Arabidopsis thaliana: one gene and its partners. The protein of the gene in region 1 interacts with the protein of each later gene in a pairwise test. Each region holds a gene or a part of one and is shown in the gene's direction. Other genes may lie near its edges.

Region 1 (4,312 bases):
GCCGCGACACCGACATGCGATATCTTCCTTTTTCTTTTGCCTTCTTTTTTGTTTTTACGTTTTCCATTTATTTTTTTACTAACTAAAGCTTTTTGGAAATTCAATATACATTATAACATATATACATGTTCCATAGCATATACAGCTACACCACGCGCATACATAGGCACAGATATGTACCTTCCTCTGTATCAGTGTATTACAGATATATATGAGCCAGCTGTTTGTATATATATAATATATACATTGTTTTATAACCCGTAGGGACATATCTTGGTCAGGTGTTGGAATCAGACTCGGACCATTATACTTCGACGATAGAACTCTCTAAAGCTTATTTTAGGGTTTAGTTCAAACCCCACCTTTCATCTCCCTATCGGCTTTGTTTCACCGTAAGAGGTAAAAAAAAAACGAAATTTGAAAATATAAAAATATGAAATGAAGATATATTTATAACAAAGCACAACATTAATATTGTGCAAAGAGAGACATACACACAGATATTTATAAATGGCAAAGACCAGATAAAGCTGAAAAGATAGCATCACGCTCGTATTCTTTCTATTTTTTATTTTGATATCAATTTATATATTTTGTTGTACTAATTAATATAGGCCAGAGGGCTCTCGTTTCCTGCCATCTAACCCTACCCGTCCGATCGATCAAAATCTCTTTTTTTTTTTTCTTTTTCTCTCTAAAATGTTTTTTTTTACAAGAAGAAAATCATCTTTTTATTGATAATCATAAAACGAAAGATTTTTAAAGTTTTGTATAATGTTAGCCTTGTATATACATATTTAAACTTTGAAGAATAAAAAAAAAAGCCAAAAACAGAAAAGAGCTAGATCAATATACAAAGGAATAAGGAATGTTCAAAGTTTCAAGTTTCAGGCGTTGAATACGAACTTCAGAAATGTTCAAAATACCCTTATTGAAAAGCATGTACATACGCTACTCGAAAGGGTTAATATCGGAGAATCGGTTGAACAGATCAAACATTGTATGACAAGTGTTACGTAAGTCTTCTGTCAGGAAAACTAGATTTTTAAAAAAAAAATCAAAAATCAAAGGTAAAGCGATCCGACAACCACAATCCGACAAGATTATTTATCTTTTACGATTTCTCATGCAAAGATTTTTTTCCAGAAAAGAAATACATGAGTTTAAACACTAAAAGAAGTAACTTTCTTTTTCAGCTAGAGGGAGCATAACTGTACGGACTTCTCTTACTATATTCAATATACATATAAAATCTTCTCTTCCATCAATCCTTCGTTTTAAATCTCATTTTAAGATTTAATTTATTGTGGAGCTCAAACCTGAGACACACAAAAAAGGCATTTCGTGTATAAAGGACACAAGCGTGGAAGCCAAAAGCATGTCACAAACTACAAACTTTGTAAACTTTGAAGAAAAAAAAAAAAGGCTTTTTCTATATAAAATTGTTCAAATTTTAATATTGTTATAATTAAACCCATCCAAATTAATTCATGGGTGCTGTTCTTATAAAATATGTACACATCATAATTCTCGAGTCATAATTCTTTTTCTATATATATAAGGAGGATGCTATTAATCTGGATAAGAAACATAAGATTCTGACTCCTTAACAAATTATGATGTGATGATTACACATTTGCTGGATTGATGATTACTCGGTCGTATGGAATTATATATTTTACAGAGTAGAATGGAATAAAAGAAAAACCCTGCCAAAATCCATATTGTACAGATTGAGGGAGCTTATCTACGTGGAAATTATGGTTTCTTACTTTATGATCATGTATCTGAAAATACAAAGAAAGAAAAAGAGAGAATTAAGTGGTAAGAAAATTAATGGTGAGAGCGGTAAGAGCCGACAAGAAGGACAGACGGAGCCGTCTATTACCAACAACTCCCTTCTGATAAAAGCCTGTTCTTCAACTCTCCTTGCCTTTTTTTTTTTTTTTACAAAAAAATGAAATTATTCCGATAACTATTATCGGTGTTTGTTTTCAACAGCAATCACTATCTTGATGTCATCGGTTTTAATTCATATGTTTTGTTACTTTTTTTCTTTTTTTCATGGAGAAGTAAATAGAGGTCATGTTATTATACACAAATAATAAAGAAAGAAACAATAATACTAATAATTAGAGGAAAACAGAGTTAGACTCAGAGGTGTAGTAGGCCTCTATAAATACTCTGCATGGCTCTCACTCTCTTCTCACCAACAAACTTTAGCCAATCCCTCTTTCTCTCTTATTCGTGTTTAATCTAGTTTCTTTCCAAACAAAAGTGTAACAAGAGAAAGAGAAGAGATATCAAAGATGCAATACCAGACAGAATCGTGGGGATCATACAAGATGAGCAGCTTAGGATTCGGCGGTTTGGGGATGGTGGCTGACACTGGTCTGCTTCGTATAGAGTCCCTGGCTTCTGAGAGCGCGGTGGTGATCTTCAGCGTGAGCACGTGCTGCATGTGCCACGCCGTGAAGGGTCTCTTCAGAGGAATGGGCGTCAGCCCCGCCGTCCACGAGCTCGACCTCCACCCCTACGGCGGCGACATCCAGCGAGCCCTCATTCGTCTCCTCGGCTGCTCCGGCTCCTCTTCTCCAGGGTCTCTCCCGGTCGTCTTCATCGGCGGTAAACTGGTTGGAGCTATGGACAGAGTCATGGCTTCTCACATAAACGGCTCTCTCGTTCCTCTTCTCAAAGACGCCGGCGCTCTCTGGCTCTGATCCCTTCCTCTGCTTTCTTTTTTCTTTTCTATTTGAAGTTTTCTTGTAAGAGAATGTGGTGGAGGAAGATTAGGAAACTAGTCAATGGCTGTAATGACAGGTTTTAGATTATAGTTTGTAATTAGAGAGAGAGTTGTTTTAAGCTCACCTTTCTCTGTCTTCCTCTTCTTCATCTCTTATTGATCTTTCGAATGCTCTCATTAAATCATAATAGTAAACACTTTGCATCTTTATTAATGTCCCCTGGATCCATTAATCAACGGTATTAACTGACGCCGTATCTATTCAAAGGCAGTTCCTGTTATTTTGTTCACACAAATTTACACACAAGGGACTTGTTGAGAGGGGATCGCTACGATCAGCTTAAATGATGCCCTACTCTGTCTAACCTATACAAAGCACACACACACTCTATGACTATGAGTGAGATAGGTGAAGCTTGAAGCTACTTGGGTTTGAAGATGTTACTTAGCAAATACCCCATTGTAGTTGTTTCGTGCGAAGGCCTGCTTGTACCAAGAACAGAGCAATGCTCCTTCTCCTTCTTCTTCACCTTCAGCTTGCTTACTCCTATCTGTTGTCTGATTGACTCCACGATTTTTGATTCAACCGGGTTTCCAGTCACGTCTGTAACGTAGAACGTGTCTTTAGCCTTACCCTCTCGCGTTGATATCTCTGCTCTCACAATGGTTAAGCTGTTCTCTCGGAATGTTCTGGTTATGTCTGAGAGAAGACCAACTCGGTCTTCTGCTGATAATTCCAGCTCTAAACCCTGAAAGTATGTTTCATATGCACAATCTGTCTTGAGTATATCAGAAATCGATGCAGAACAGAATGTAATTTGAGCCAAGACAGAGAATTTTCACATTCCTAATTGGTTACCTCCGATGCTCTCCTCTCAATGGCTGCTTCCAGACATTGTATGACACGTTCTTGCTCTGCTTCTGAGTTTATGGGAAGTCCATCCACATGACGGATGTAAAATTCCTGCAGCAAAACACTCATATTATTGTTAGAAGAGAGATCCCAACAGACGGCCGTTGAGTAGTTACCTGATAAGCCTCCACTGGTTCTGTGCTGACCATGCCATGGAACACCACATACTGCATATCAGTCAAAGTACAGACTACGTCAAACACAAGCTTTGGTCTATCTTTGGACCTCATGGTAACAACGGTATAATCCTTCTCAATGTTCATTAGTGTGACACTGGGCCTTGACGCCGATGTCCTTGCTCTTTTGACTCCCTCGTAGTCCCTATCATCAAACATGATCTGATGCAACCGTCTCTCCCTGTGTGTATCAGAACAAGAGAAGACTGTTTTCGCAGCTCTTGAGCCGCTGTTTGTCCTCACTACATTGCACAGCAGCTCCTTGATGGTGGAAAGGCGAATCGGGTCAGTAATGGCAGAATGAGTTGAATTGTCCGTGACATGAATAACCGCTGCAGCTCTGGTGTTGTGAGTCCATATCTCAGCGTTCACAACGTTGCAGTGAAGGTCTGTGAGAACAGCAGATACTTCAGACAAGAGACCGGGTCTGTCAGTTCCAGCGAGCTCAATGGATGTGTATTCGTCAGTGGGCATTACACC
Region 2 (6,230 bases), on another chromosome or scaffold:
AAGTACCTCAAAGTTACATGAAACAGTTTATATCGAGCTTTCTTCTAGACTCATAGTTAAACAGTTATTAACCAGTGAGAACTACATGATCTTGTTTATTTCATATAGTAAACTTTCGTACAAGTATATCTAATTATCTGACAGAGTTATAAAAAGTAAGATCTACAGAAATGTTGTTGGGAATAGTCCCGGTAAGACCTTTTGCACCTACTGAATCCAAAGCTCTAAGACCAAGTAAATTTTGTGTTGGCTTATAAGTAATGGCTAATAGTCTCTATGCTCGCACAGCTAAATGATTAAAACTGTGTAACAACAACAACAACATTGCTTTCTTTATTCCTCCACATGTCAAATCATCATCAATAGGAAGTTGTAGAAGATTTGTTTTGGTCAAATGTAACAATCTAATGTACTGTATCTAATTATCTTCGGAAAAGAGAAACACTCAAGACTCTAAACCTTTTTATTTATGAAAGAAAAAAAATGGTACATATGATGCAGAGAAATGTTCTAAAGATTATTTACTTCTCCCAAATGTTTCAAAAAGAAATGAGAAGAGAAGAAAGAGACAAGATCGGATTCTGACGAGTAAAAAACAAGAAAATACCCACAAGACTAAACAGAGCCTAGACGTCATTGACTCTGCCAAATGTACTACTACTCTCTTGTCCAAAACCAATTTCATTATTGGTACGTTTCCGGTTTGGTGTAAAATAGGTATCCAATTCTCGGTTATGTGTAAATATTTGGTAAAAGAAAAGTCAATGAAGCCTCCGGGAGAAACGAGAGTTTACTGGTTTTAGAATAGGAGACAGTAATAAATTTTCATTTAAAAAAAGTTACTAAAAAAACTAATGCTCATAATAGTTTCTACATTTATAATGAGGAAGATGTTTCTTTCAAGCAAAGCTTTTCTTTTTAATGCTCTTCTTCATCGGTCCACTGAATATCAAGTTAATAATACTGCAAAAATTATTTGGTTTTTATCATTAAATAGGGATACTATTAGAATTCATTTATTTGTGTATGATTTTATAAATCAAAATTAAAAATATTGGCAGATTTTTTAATTAGCTTTCCATCAACATCACATCAGCTTCAGAGCAGAAACCAGCCAGCCAGACTATTGCCTGCTTTATGGTAACTAGATTTCATTAATATCTGTTTTTTTTTTTAAACTTCAAATTAGTTATATAGTTAAATACATAAAAATAATCATTGAGAAAATAACATCTTAGGCTAGGCTTTTGACATTTTTACAGGAGAGATGAGAGATGAGACATTGAAGAAACTTTCAACAATACATCATGATTCATGAGCATATCCAGTTATCAACTAAATCGTGCATTAATTACGTTTTTATAATATTTGAAAATTGATTAGAGAAATTCATTAGCTTTGTTATTTATATTAAATAATTATATATTTTTTTATATCTTTTGTGCATGGGAAAAAATAAAAACTCAGAGTGGCAGTGGTCGAGAGGCCATTTTCAACTTTGGCAGACACAGTAAAACAAGATGGAAATGACACTCTCTGTATCTGAATTATCCAGGCTCTGCATTACATATACATACAAATTTTACACATTTATTCCATGCGTGAAGGTTTATAATTATATGAAAACAAAATAGTTAAAGAATAACAATTTCAAAAACAGTTAAAAGCAAATCATAAGCCTAATATCTTGGCAAATTAAAATTTTATTTTTCTTCAAACCCTAAATTTTGACTTGCACAAGAAAAAAGAAGGCTTATTATAGAAACTTTAAAATTAAATTAAATAATAAATCAAATATTAGAGAAAGAAAGATATGAACATACTCCCAAGTTTCAAGAGACACATTGTCAGCAAACATCCAAATTATCGTCATTCTCGATTCTATCTTCATATCTTGGTTAAAGACCATATAATAATTCCAAATACTAATGTGTCGTATAACACCATTATGTCTCAATTTAAAAACTAAACCACATCTTATTATAATTCGGTAACACACATGACACATATGGTTGATTTAAAATTAGCATGAACTCATTCATATTCAATTTTGTTTTGCTATCTTCGTATTGAACGTATATTGAGGAGTGATATTTTAGCTGCTAATCTAGCTATAATACATGAACCATTGTGTTAGAATAGTTTACAAAAAATGTCACAAAATATTTGACATCTCATATAATTCATAAGCCATATGTCCTAACATACAATATATACAATGTGACATGGGAAAGAAATTGCGAGATCAAACTTAGAAACTAGCTTTATTAGGCTTTTGATAATACGTAAGATAATTAAAAGACTCAATAATCACTAATCCTAACCTTTTATTAAAAAAAATTTGTCAACTAAAACTAAACTTACACATTTTTCCTATACTTAGACACTTTGTTGATTTTTTCACCAAGGTAAGATCCAACCTTACATACATTTAATATTTTGATCGTTTAAGATTTTTAAAGTTCTTGAAAATGGAGTATTACAATAGATTCATTAGCAAAACATTATTAGTTTTATTTTTTCCTCATTCATTAGCAAAACAAAGTTAACTGATCATTATAATCCCACAAAATTAACTACACTAGATGTAGTAAAAATCTGGAAAAATTAGTAAATAGAGTAACATATTTTTAAAATAGGAAAACAAAGGGTACGTGGGTGTGTGTGTTGGTTATTGGGAAACTAAAATCCCACCCTCTCAGACGCAATACATTTACACTTTTTTTTTATTAAACATAAATCTCAAAATCTCTTCTCTGATTTCTTTCTCTCTCTCACACACAATATAGTAATTTCGTATTTATTAATGATGAATCCTCCAGCCGTACTGATTCGCCATCTTTTCACCTCTTTAATGAATTCTCTCCTCACTCCCTCCTTCCCTTTTAACTTCACTTTCTTCTTCTGATAACCCAACTCCTTAAGAAAGCTCACTTCTTTTTCCCCTGATTCCCTTTGTGTCATCATCTTTCATCATCTTCTTCTTCTAAGAATCAACAACAATGCAGAGCAGCTTCAAAACCGTTCCTTTCACTCCTGATTTCTACTCTCAGTCTTCTTACTTCTTCAGGTAACAACACTTCTCCTTCTCTCTTTTTCTCTTCTTAAAAAGCTTCAACAACAAAAAAAAAAACCAATCTTTTTTGTTCTTAATGGAAAAACAGAGGAGATAGTTGTCTTGAGGAGTTTCATCAACCAGTCAATGGTTTTCACCATGAAGAAGCTATCGATTTAAGTCCAAGTTAGCTTCTTTTTCTCTTCCTTTTTTCTTACAAGTGCAAAAAGGTTTAAGCTTTGTTGAAAGAATCTCAAGTAGGTTCCATTTTCTGATTTCCTGCAGATGTCACTATTGCTTCAGCTAACTTACACTACACGACGTTTGATACGGTAAAAAGTTCACCAAACCCAAATTTTTAAAATAGAAAAAAGTTTCCGTTTTTTTAGCTCAGACTTTCTATGTATGTATGTATACTCTGTTTTTTAGGTTATGGATTGTGGTGGTGGTGGTGGTGGTGGCTTGAGGGAGAGACTTGAAGGAGGAGAAGAGGAGTGTTTGGACACAGGGCAACTAGTGTACCAGAAAGGGACAAGATTAGTAGGAGGAGGAGTAGGAGAAGTGAACAGCAGTTGGTGTGATTCGGTTTCAGCTATGGCTGATAACAGTCAACATACTGACACTTCCACAGATATTGATACTGATGACAAGACTCAGGTTTTGTTCCTTTGTCTTCTTCAATAACCAATCTCTCTGTCTGTCACAACCAAAAAAAAAGATAAAAAGATTCTGTCTTTTTTTTCTTTCATTTCTGTTTTGTTTCTTCTACACTTGTTGGAGTTTTGTTTTGTCCCTTTTGTTTTTTTTTATAATTTCTCATTGATATGTCACCTTGGTATTCGATCAATATTGTTTGCTCAGATTATGTCTGTTTCAATAAGAGCTTGTCTGTTTTGTTTTTTGGTTTAATGGGACACAACATGGATGATTGGTTTGTTGAATTTACTACTAAAATTTACAAGTTTCTTCCTTTTTATGGTTATGAACTTATGATATGAAAAACGTTACTTGGCCGTGTTGATGTTGCTTGTAAAGTTTGTTGTTTCATTATTTATAGTTGCATTGATGTATATTGATTGGTTTGTGTTATATAGTTGAATGGAGGTCATCAAGGGATGCTATTGGCTACAAATTGTTCAGATCAATCCAATGTGAAATCTAGTGATCAAAGGGTAGATCTTCTGATTTTAACCATTTGAGTTTTGGATACGTTGGTTTATGTGTGAATGAACTTTTGACATTTTTGAATTCTTGGCAGACACTTCGTCGACTTGCTCAGAACCGGGAGGCTGCTAGGAAAAGTCGGTTGAGGAAAAAGGTATAGTAGCTGATTCAACTGTGTTTTTCATCGTCCATTATCTTTGTATTTACATTGTCTTTTAATAGGCATATGTTCAGCAACTTGAGAATAGTCGAATCAGGCTTGCACAGCTAGAGGAAGAGCTCAAAAGAGCTCGCCAACAGGTCTGATTAACACTGTTGTCTTCTTTAATTTGCATGTTCTACTAAATTGTATTAAAGGGCTTCTTTTGTATGCAGGGATCTTTGGTTGAAAGAGGAGTTTCAGCGGATCACACGCATTTGGCAGCCGGAAATGGTAAAGACTTTCAGAATCTCACATAACACTTCTTGACTCTTTGTGATCTTTTACTAAGAATGAAGTTGGTTTTGATGTTGTAGGTGTCTTTTCATTTGAATTGGAATATACACGTTGGAAGGAAGAACATCAAAGAATGATCAACGACTTAAGATCGGGTGTGAATTCGCAGTTAGGTGACAACGATCTACGCGTTCTAGTGGATGCTGTGATGAGTCACTATGATGAAATATTCAGGCTAAAGGGAATTGGTACTAAAGTTGACGTCTTTCATATGCTCTCAGGCATGTGGAAGACACCTGCCGAGAGATTTTTCATGTGGTTAGGTGGATTTAGATCATCAGAGTTACTTAAGGTAAAAGAAAGGGTTCAAAACATTTTCACAATCATTGGTTTTGATTTTTTTTTCTCATAATTGGTAACTATGTTGTTAGATATTGGGGAACCATGTGGATCCATTGACGGACCAGCAGTTGATAGGCATTTGCAACCTTCAGCAATCGTCTCAACAAGCAGAGGATGCATTGTCACAAGGCATGGAAGCTCTACAACAATCACTTCTCGAGACGCTTTCTTCTGCTTCAATGGGTCCAAACTCTTCAGCAAATGTTGCAGATTATATGGGTCATATGGCTATGGCTATGGGCAAACTTGGCACTCTTGAAAACTTCCTTCGCCAGGTAAGAAAAAATGAACAGAATGTCTCTTGTCAACAACAACATTTGTTATTACAAATCAAAGAGCTTAAAGGTTACTATATCTTTGCAGGCTGATTTATTGAGGCAACAAACTCTGCAACAGCTTCACAGAATTCTCACCACACGACAAGCTGCTCGCGCCTTTTTGGTCATCCACGATTATATTTCTCGGCTTAGAGCACTTAGCTCTCTATGGTTAGCCAGACCTAGAGACTAAATAAAAAGCCTGCATGAGTCATGATGACCAAAGGAAAAGCATAGTTCTGGTCTTAGGTTTTCATATTTACATATTTTTAACTAAAAGACCCATAACGCTCTTCTCTTTAGTGTATTAGATCATCTGTTTATTTAGTTGGTAGTGAACGTTACCATTCAGAATCAGTCATCGTTTTTTTTTATTTTACTTTCCCTAGCTAAACTGAGAAACACCTGAAGCTTACAAGATCTACAGAAAAGTTTTAAACCGTAAGAGATAATAGCCGCATTGCGTGAAAGTATCATCGAATCATGCCAGGTACAACTATGGGAGGTGTTACTTTCTCACGGCTCCATTTCTCTACATTCGAAAGCCATCCTGAAAAATCACAAAAAAAAAAAAAAAACATATTGTGTAAGCTGAATCTTTATGTTTTCATGTTGTTACATCAAGTTTGCCGGGGAAAAAAATCTTTAAAGCATTAGATGAATACCGATAGAAGGATCAGCGCCGCGGTTCTTGAGTTCTCGGGACTCTTGGCAGATAGCGCATGGGGTGCAAAAGAGATGGACTAAAAAGTCACGGCATGGTTCTTCAGGCAATGCGAAATGTTCCCTAAGCCTAGACCGGTTTGGAAAAGCGTAGAGCCAGCTACAACCAATAAAGCCTAACGCTAGATGAATC
Region 3 (5,709 bases), on another chromosome or scaffold:
ATGGAGTTTGATGATACAACAATGAAGGAAGGTCATGTGCACTTGTGTGACGTGAGAATATCCTCCGGCTTGTTTGGTCTTTAAAAGGAAAGGACACCACAATAACAATTATCAATTAGAAAACAAAAAATACTCCTTTTATTCTTAGTCACCAAACAAATAAAATCAGCTCCTTTTTTCATACCACACAATGGGAACAAAAGCAATGATAAAAGAAGCCCATCACCTTCCTTTGCTTTTAAATTATTCATAATTTATGAAAGAAACAAAAAAAATTATTATTTTTATTTTTGCTTCTCTTCCGGTAAGTCAAAGGAGATAATATTAAGAGTTTAGATATTAATCTCTTAAATTCTGTGTTCATTTTAAGATTTTGTAGCAAAAGTTTATTATTACTAATCATGTGGTTGTACTGCATGTTTAACCAACATGAAAGAATATGTATTCATTTTTTCGGAATGCGAAATAAGAGAATCAATCTCAGTTCAGTTCAAGTTCGAATCTTTGAACGACATGCGGTTTATATAAAAGGAACTATAGTATATAAATATATATTTATATATATGCCTCCTTTAATAGATTTTCTTATATTCCTTCTTTGTTTTGTAATTTATGGAGAATATTTACTATGTATTCTTCATGAAGCAATTTTACAAATATTCGAATTTTAATTTTTCCTTTTTTGAACGTCTGATGATCGATCATTCGCGTGCACAAGAATCTCATCAGGGCATGATAGATTCGAAATTTTGATTTGCTCAGTTACGATATATCTTTGATTATTCTTCCTACGGCGGTTTAAACCTAAAAACAAGTTTTCATGTTTTATTCACCTAGATTGGTTTCAAGTGTATTTTCTAACCACTATTTTTTTCAAGAAAACGGGAAACAAACAGAAACTATTTCTGGTGCAAAATATAGTCTGAAAATAGTAGAATGCAATCCATATCAATCTTGAAAGATATATTTTTTTAAAGTGTACTTGAGAAGAATGTAAGAAATAAGAGATTAAAAAAGGTACGGAGAAGATAACGAGAAAAGCAATAAAATGCATAACTTTTGTAGTCATAACGAAAAAAAGGAGAAAGAAGATAATGAAAATAGTGGAAGATCGGTGTCTTCGTGATGAATTAAAGTAGAATTGTGTGTACGTAACTTTTGTAATCATACTTTCTTTTTCTTCATCAACTATAAGACGTAACAATGATATCTATAATGCATGCATATAGTTTTAAAATTATCTAGGTTCTTGACCAAGGCTTAGTTAGCTCGGTAAGTTTCTAAGAACTTCGATTTACCAATAAATCAAGCCAAACTATATATGATCTTTCGCGATGCCAATTGATATTCTGACAGGATCATACAATATTGTTGCTTTTCTTGTATTTATTTATTTGCGTATCACCGCACCGATTCATATTTATTATAGTATATAGATTGGAAAAACAATATAGAGGGACTCTTTATTAAAGTAAAACCAAGAGAGGAAATAAAACTGAATAAGAAAATAAACAAACATGCTTGTCTTTGTCGAACACACAGATTTTTATTACACAAGTGGTTCCGAACTAATTAAGATTCCTAATTTTAAAATAATAAAGAGATTTAAAAATGTTATCTTTTGTGTTTGGTAGGCCATTAAAGCTCCAATTATTTGTCACTAAGTCAGGGAAGGAGACTAAGCATAAAGACGCCACTGCATAAACCTTATGGTCCCCTCAAAATAAACCTAAAGTTGTAAAAGAAAGAAAATAAAAACATAACGTTGATAAAATAAAATTTGAAGAAAGAAAATCCTACATCTTTGTACCACCTATATGAACCTAACTTATAGGGAAAAAGACATTGATTCTTTTGCAGACCCATCAGCGTGCATGTCCAAAAAGATGTGAAAATGGTTTCGAAAATTATGGATTGGTCATGATCAGTTAGACGATAATTCGGGCTATGATTATGAATATATATTTATATTTAAAAGGATGAATCTTTTCAACTTTAGATATTCTAATTATAGTATAAATCATGATCATTTTATCATTTACGACATGTTTAAATCGCCGTAACATACATAGAAACATATGAAACGATTTTACATATATGACAATTCAATTTATATATATACTACAAAACGTACGGTTCTATATACACTACATTTATGATAAACTTCGAACTTGTCTATAGTTTAAGAAAATCTGTTGCTGCTGTCAAAAGCACTAAATCTTTGATCAACCAATAAATCAAAAGTTTCCCACGATACCAAAATTTAAAGAAACGGGGGAAAAGTATATTTGTTCTGTTAAAACTATTTATTATTTGAACCCTAAAACATAAGACTCTTTCCAATTCTGGAATGCAAATAAATTATACACCACCGGAATAATCGACTGAACTTGGTACGTGTCGACATCGGAAGGTATTTCAGCTCTTGGTAGATGACATCACGTCGTGCGTACCTCAGAAATTAAAGCGCACGATAAGGTCACCTTCTCGGCTTTGCCAAAGATGCATCTCTCTCTTGCGTTTTGTTTGTCGTTAAACGTTTCGTTCCTTTAAATTGATTGTGATTATTTCTTAATAAACTTGATTACTATTATTAATTCTTTAACTTAAATATTACTCTAATGGTGATGCCGTGATGGTCACAAATAAATGAAATAGAAAAAGACCAAAACAAAAAAAAAAAATCCTTTTTTCCTCTCTTTTACATGATGGGAACTCTTGACCTTTAAGTTTTTTTTTTTTGTGACAGGAAGTGTTCAAAGGAACGAAATACACTTCTTCTTCCATTTGATGTCTGTGGTCCGAATGAAAAATATCTCTGTATTAACCAGAAACGTGTTTCATAAGCATCTTTAACTCTTCAGCTCTCAAATTCTTCATGAATATCTCTGCTTATCGATCAAGGTTTGTTAAATTTTCCCTCCCTCTCTGTTTTTCACTTGAAACGTTTGGATCTTGGAGAATTTGGAGTTTCTCGTGTGTTTTTTTTAGTTCCAAACTTTATATTAGTTTTAAAAATGATTAAGAGTTTATTCTGTTTATGGTTTGTATCAGTGAGAGCAAATGCAATTTTTAAGAGCCAGCTATTGGATCTATAACTGAAGGTGAGGCAACACAAAACTTTCTTTTTTCTTTCTGCTTTGATCTATTCTTGTGCATGTTTTTGAAAGATTCTAAATTACCAACTATGATTGGTTTGATATGTAGAGGATATATATAGAGATGATGAGTTCTTCTTCTCCAACACAACTTGCATCTTTAAGAGACATGGGAATCTATGAGCCATTTCAACAAATTGTCGGTTGGGGAAATGTTTTCAAATCTGATATCAATGATCATAGTCCCAATACTGCTACTTCCTCTATTATTCAGGTTGATCCTAGAATTGATGATCACAACAACAACATCAAGGTTAACTAGTTTTCTTCTTTCAAGATTCATTGATTTTTGAAAGTTGTTGTTACTTGTTTTTTTACTAATGGGTTTTTAAATCACGTGCAGATAAATTATGATTCTTCTCATAACCAGATCGAAGCAGAACAACCTTCTAGTAATGATAATCAAGATGATGATGGCAGGATTCATGATAAGGTTTAGATCAAAACAAAGCTAATTATGTTTTCTTTTTTATACATGCATAATAGAAAATGGTGGTTTTTGTGATATTGATTGATATTCTTTTGTCATATGCCAATAGATGAAACGGCGTTTAGCGCAGAACCGAGAAGCGGCTCGCAAAAGTCGTTTGAGAAAGAAGGTAGAAGCAAGTCCCTTTATTGAATCTCATATAGTTTAGTTAGTTGCTACTAAGTCCTCTTTTTTTTTGTATCTTTAGGCTTATGTTCAGCAGTTAGAGGAAAGCCGGTTAAAGTTATCGCAGTTAGAGCAAGAACTCGAAAAGGTTAAGCAGCAGGTGAGCTAGGTCAAAAGATATGTTTAAAATGTTCTGTTTTGAGTCTCTATCAAGAAAATCAGTTTTGGTTTCGTAATTGACTCAGTACTAAATGTTTTCTTTCAAGGGCCATTTAGGACCATCTGGGAGTATTAACACAGGGATTGCATCATTTGAGATGGAATATTCACACTGGCTACAAGAACAAAGCAGAAGAGTTAGCGAACTACGAACAGCGCTTCAATCTCATATAAGCGACATAGAACTCAAGATGCTAGTAGAGAGTTGCTTGAACCATTACGCTAATCTTTTCCAAATGAAATCCGATGCAGCAAAAGCCGATGTTTTCTACTTGATATCGGGAATGTGGCGAACTTCAACCGAAAGATTCTTCCAATGGATTGGAGGGTTTCGTCCATCCGAACTTTTAAACGTAAAAATACCCAAAATGTTACAATCTCTAACAAAAACATTTTCAAAATGTAATATTTTCTCCTTCCCTTTTCTTGTAGGTTGTGATGCCTTATCTTCAACCATTAACGGATCAACAAATCTTGGAAGTGAGAAACCTCCAACAATCATCACAACAAGCAGAGGATGCTCTGTCTCAAGGGATTGATAAACTTCAACAGAGTTTAGCTGAAAGCATTGTGATTGATGCGGTTATCGAGTCCACGCATTATCCCACTCACATGGCTGCAGCTATAGAGAATCTTCAAGCATTAGAAGGATTTGTGAATCAAGTAAGTAGTAAACATTAACTCAAAACAAATTAAGTAAAGTTTGTGTCATTCTATTTCAAACATCTCTATCCTGATTATAACAGGCAGATCATCTGAGGCAACAAACTTTGCAACAAATGGCGAAGATCTTAACGACAAGACAATCGGCTCGAGGTTTACTAGCTTTAGGAGAGTATCTTCATAGACTTCGTGCTCTTAGTTCTCTTTGGGCAGCTCGTCCACAAGAACCAACTTAAAAGAGGAACTTATTAAAACTTTAAAAACAAGAAACAGCAGAATCAAAAGTCTTGAAGAAGCATACTCATCACAAAGCTTGGAAGGATGTTTTAAAAAAGATCTTTGTTAATTAAGTAGAGTGAGATTCTCTTGATTAGAACTTTATGGTTTTTGCTTTATGAAGTATCTCTCCAGAGAAGATTGTAAATTTGGGTTGAAACTTTGTAATATATTTAGATACAACAAATAAGTTTGAAATCTGAGCAATTTGATAATATGTGTACTGAATGTATATTTAATGTATTATTAAGGGACTAATGTGAAACTCAATAAATCAAAGGGTACTATTGTAATTTTCCCATCGTTGCGCTTCAGTCGTCCACAAAAAAACTTCCGTTGGAATTTTCTGAGGAAAATGAGAAAATTCAATTGAAGAAAAGAGTAAAGAAGAAGTCTCTTGTTCGGTTGGATTTTTCAGGAATTTCATTTTCGTGAGCTTACTTGTTCGTTCATATAAAGAGGTGGAATTTGATTTATATGAATTTTGATTTCTGGGTTTACGAAATTGATCGGTTTCTGGGTTGGAACTTGAAGTTATGAGCAATCTTCGAGCTATCTGTAGACCATACTCTGTGTTCTCTTCGATTGTGTGTTGTAGTAGACATCAAAGTCGATCACTTTTTAGGGTTTCGATTAAAAACGTCGCCTTTAGAAACCAGAGTTCGAATTCGTCTTGGTTTAGGTCTAAAAATTCGAATCTTTGGTTTCGTTTGAATCAGAGGAAGACTCTAGTTAGAGCATCGAATTGGAGCCAAGAGAAATCTCCTTACGATACTCTCGGTAAGCTTCTTCTACCAA

What was found. The genes of interacting proteins can lie anywhere in the genome.
Region 2: the proteins of ROXY1 (region 1) and PAN interact in binary tests that used the Arabidopsis thaliana proteins (3 or more experiments, as listed by UniProt).
Region 3: the proteins of ROXY1 (region 1) and TGA7 interact in binary tests that used the Arabidopsis thaliana proteins (3 or more experiments, as listed by UniProt).

The regions. Positions count from the first base shown.
Region 1 is NC_003074.8:330,920-335,231, reverse strand, and holds ROXY1 (Thioredoxin superfamily protein), read left to right. Parts: upstream 1-2,159; 5' UTR 2,160-2,309; coding exon 2,310-2,720; 3' UTR 2,721-2,957; downstream 2,958-4,312. Other genes in the region: ACR6 (ACT domain repeat 6), read right to left, coding at 3,166-3,492, 3,603-3,707, 3,773-4,312. UniProt on the Arabidopsis thaliana protein: Has a glutathione-disulfide oxidoreductase activity in the presence of NADPH and glutathione reductase. Reduces low molecular weight disulfides and proteins.
Region 2 is NC_003070.9:25,769,076-25,775,305, reverse strand, and holds PAN (bZIP transcription factor family protein), read left to right. Parts: upstream 1-2,655; 5' UTR 2,656-3,002; coding exon 3,003-3,070; exon of another isoform or gene 3,071-3,086; intron 3,087-3,164; coding exon 3,165-3,241; intron 3,242-3,340; coding exon 3,341-3,387; intron 3,388-3,484; coding exon 3,485-3,712; intron 3,713-4,149; coding exon 4,150-4,227; intron 4,228-4,313; coding exon 4,314-4,373; intron 4,374-4,441; coding exon 4,442-4,519; intron 4,520-4,594; coding exon 4,595-4,652; intron 4,653-4,735; coding exon 4,736-5,007; intron 5,008-5,045; exon of another isoform or gene 5,046-5,086; coding exon 5,087-5,332; exon of another isoform or gene 5,333-5,420; coding exon 5,421-5,567; 3' UTR 5,568-5,730; downstream 5,731-6,230. Other genes in the region: AT1G68630 (PLAC8 family protein), read right to left, coding at 5,848-5,924, 6,040-6,230. UniProt on the Arabidopsis thaliana protein: Transcriptional activator involved in the determination of floral organ number. Acts to determine floral organ patterning by establishing floral organ primordia in specific numbers and positions.
Region 3 is NC_003070.9:29,295,737-29,301,445, forward strand, and holds TGA7 (bZIP transcription factor family protein), read left to right. Parts: upstream 1-2,506; 5' UTR 2,507-2,904; intron 2,905-3,054; 5' UTR 3,055-3,104; intron 3,105-3,207; 5' UTR 3,208-3,222; coding exon 3,223-3,411; intron 3,412-3,501; coding exon 3,502-3,591; intron 3,592-3,697; coding exon 3,698-3,757; intron 3,758-3,835; coding exon 3,836-3,913; intron 3,914-4,019; coding exon 4,020-4,325; intron 4,326-4,404; coding exon 4,405-4,635; intron 4,636-4,718; coding exon 4,719-4,871; 3' UTR 4,872-5,209; downstream 5,210-5,709. Other genes in the region: AT1G77910 (uncharacterized protein), read left to right, coding at 402-671; AT1G77930 (Chaperone DnaJ-domain superfamily protein), read left to right, coding at 5,448-5,691.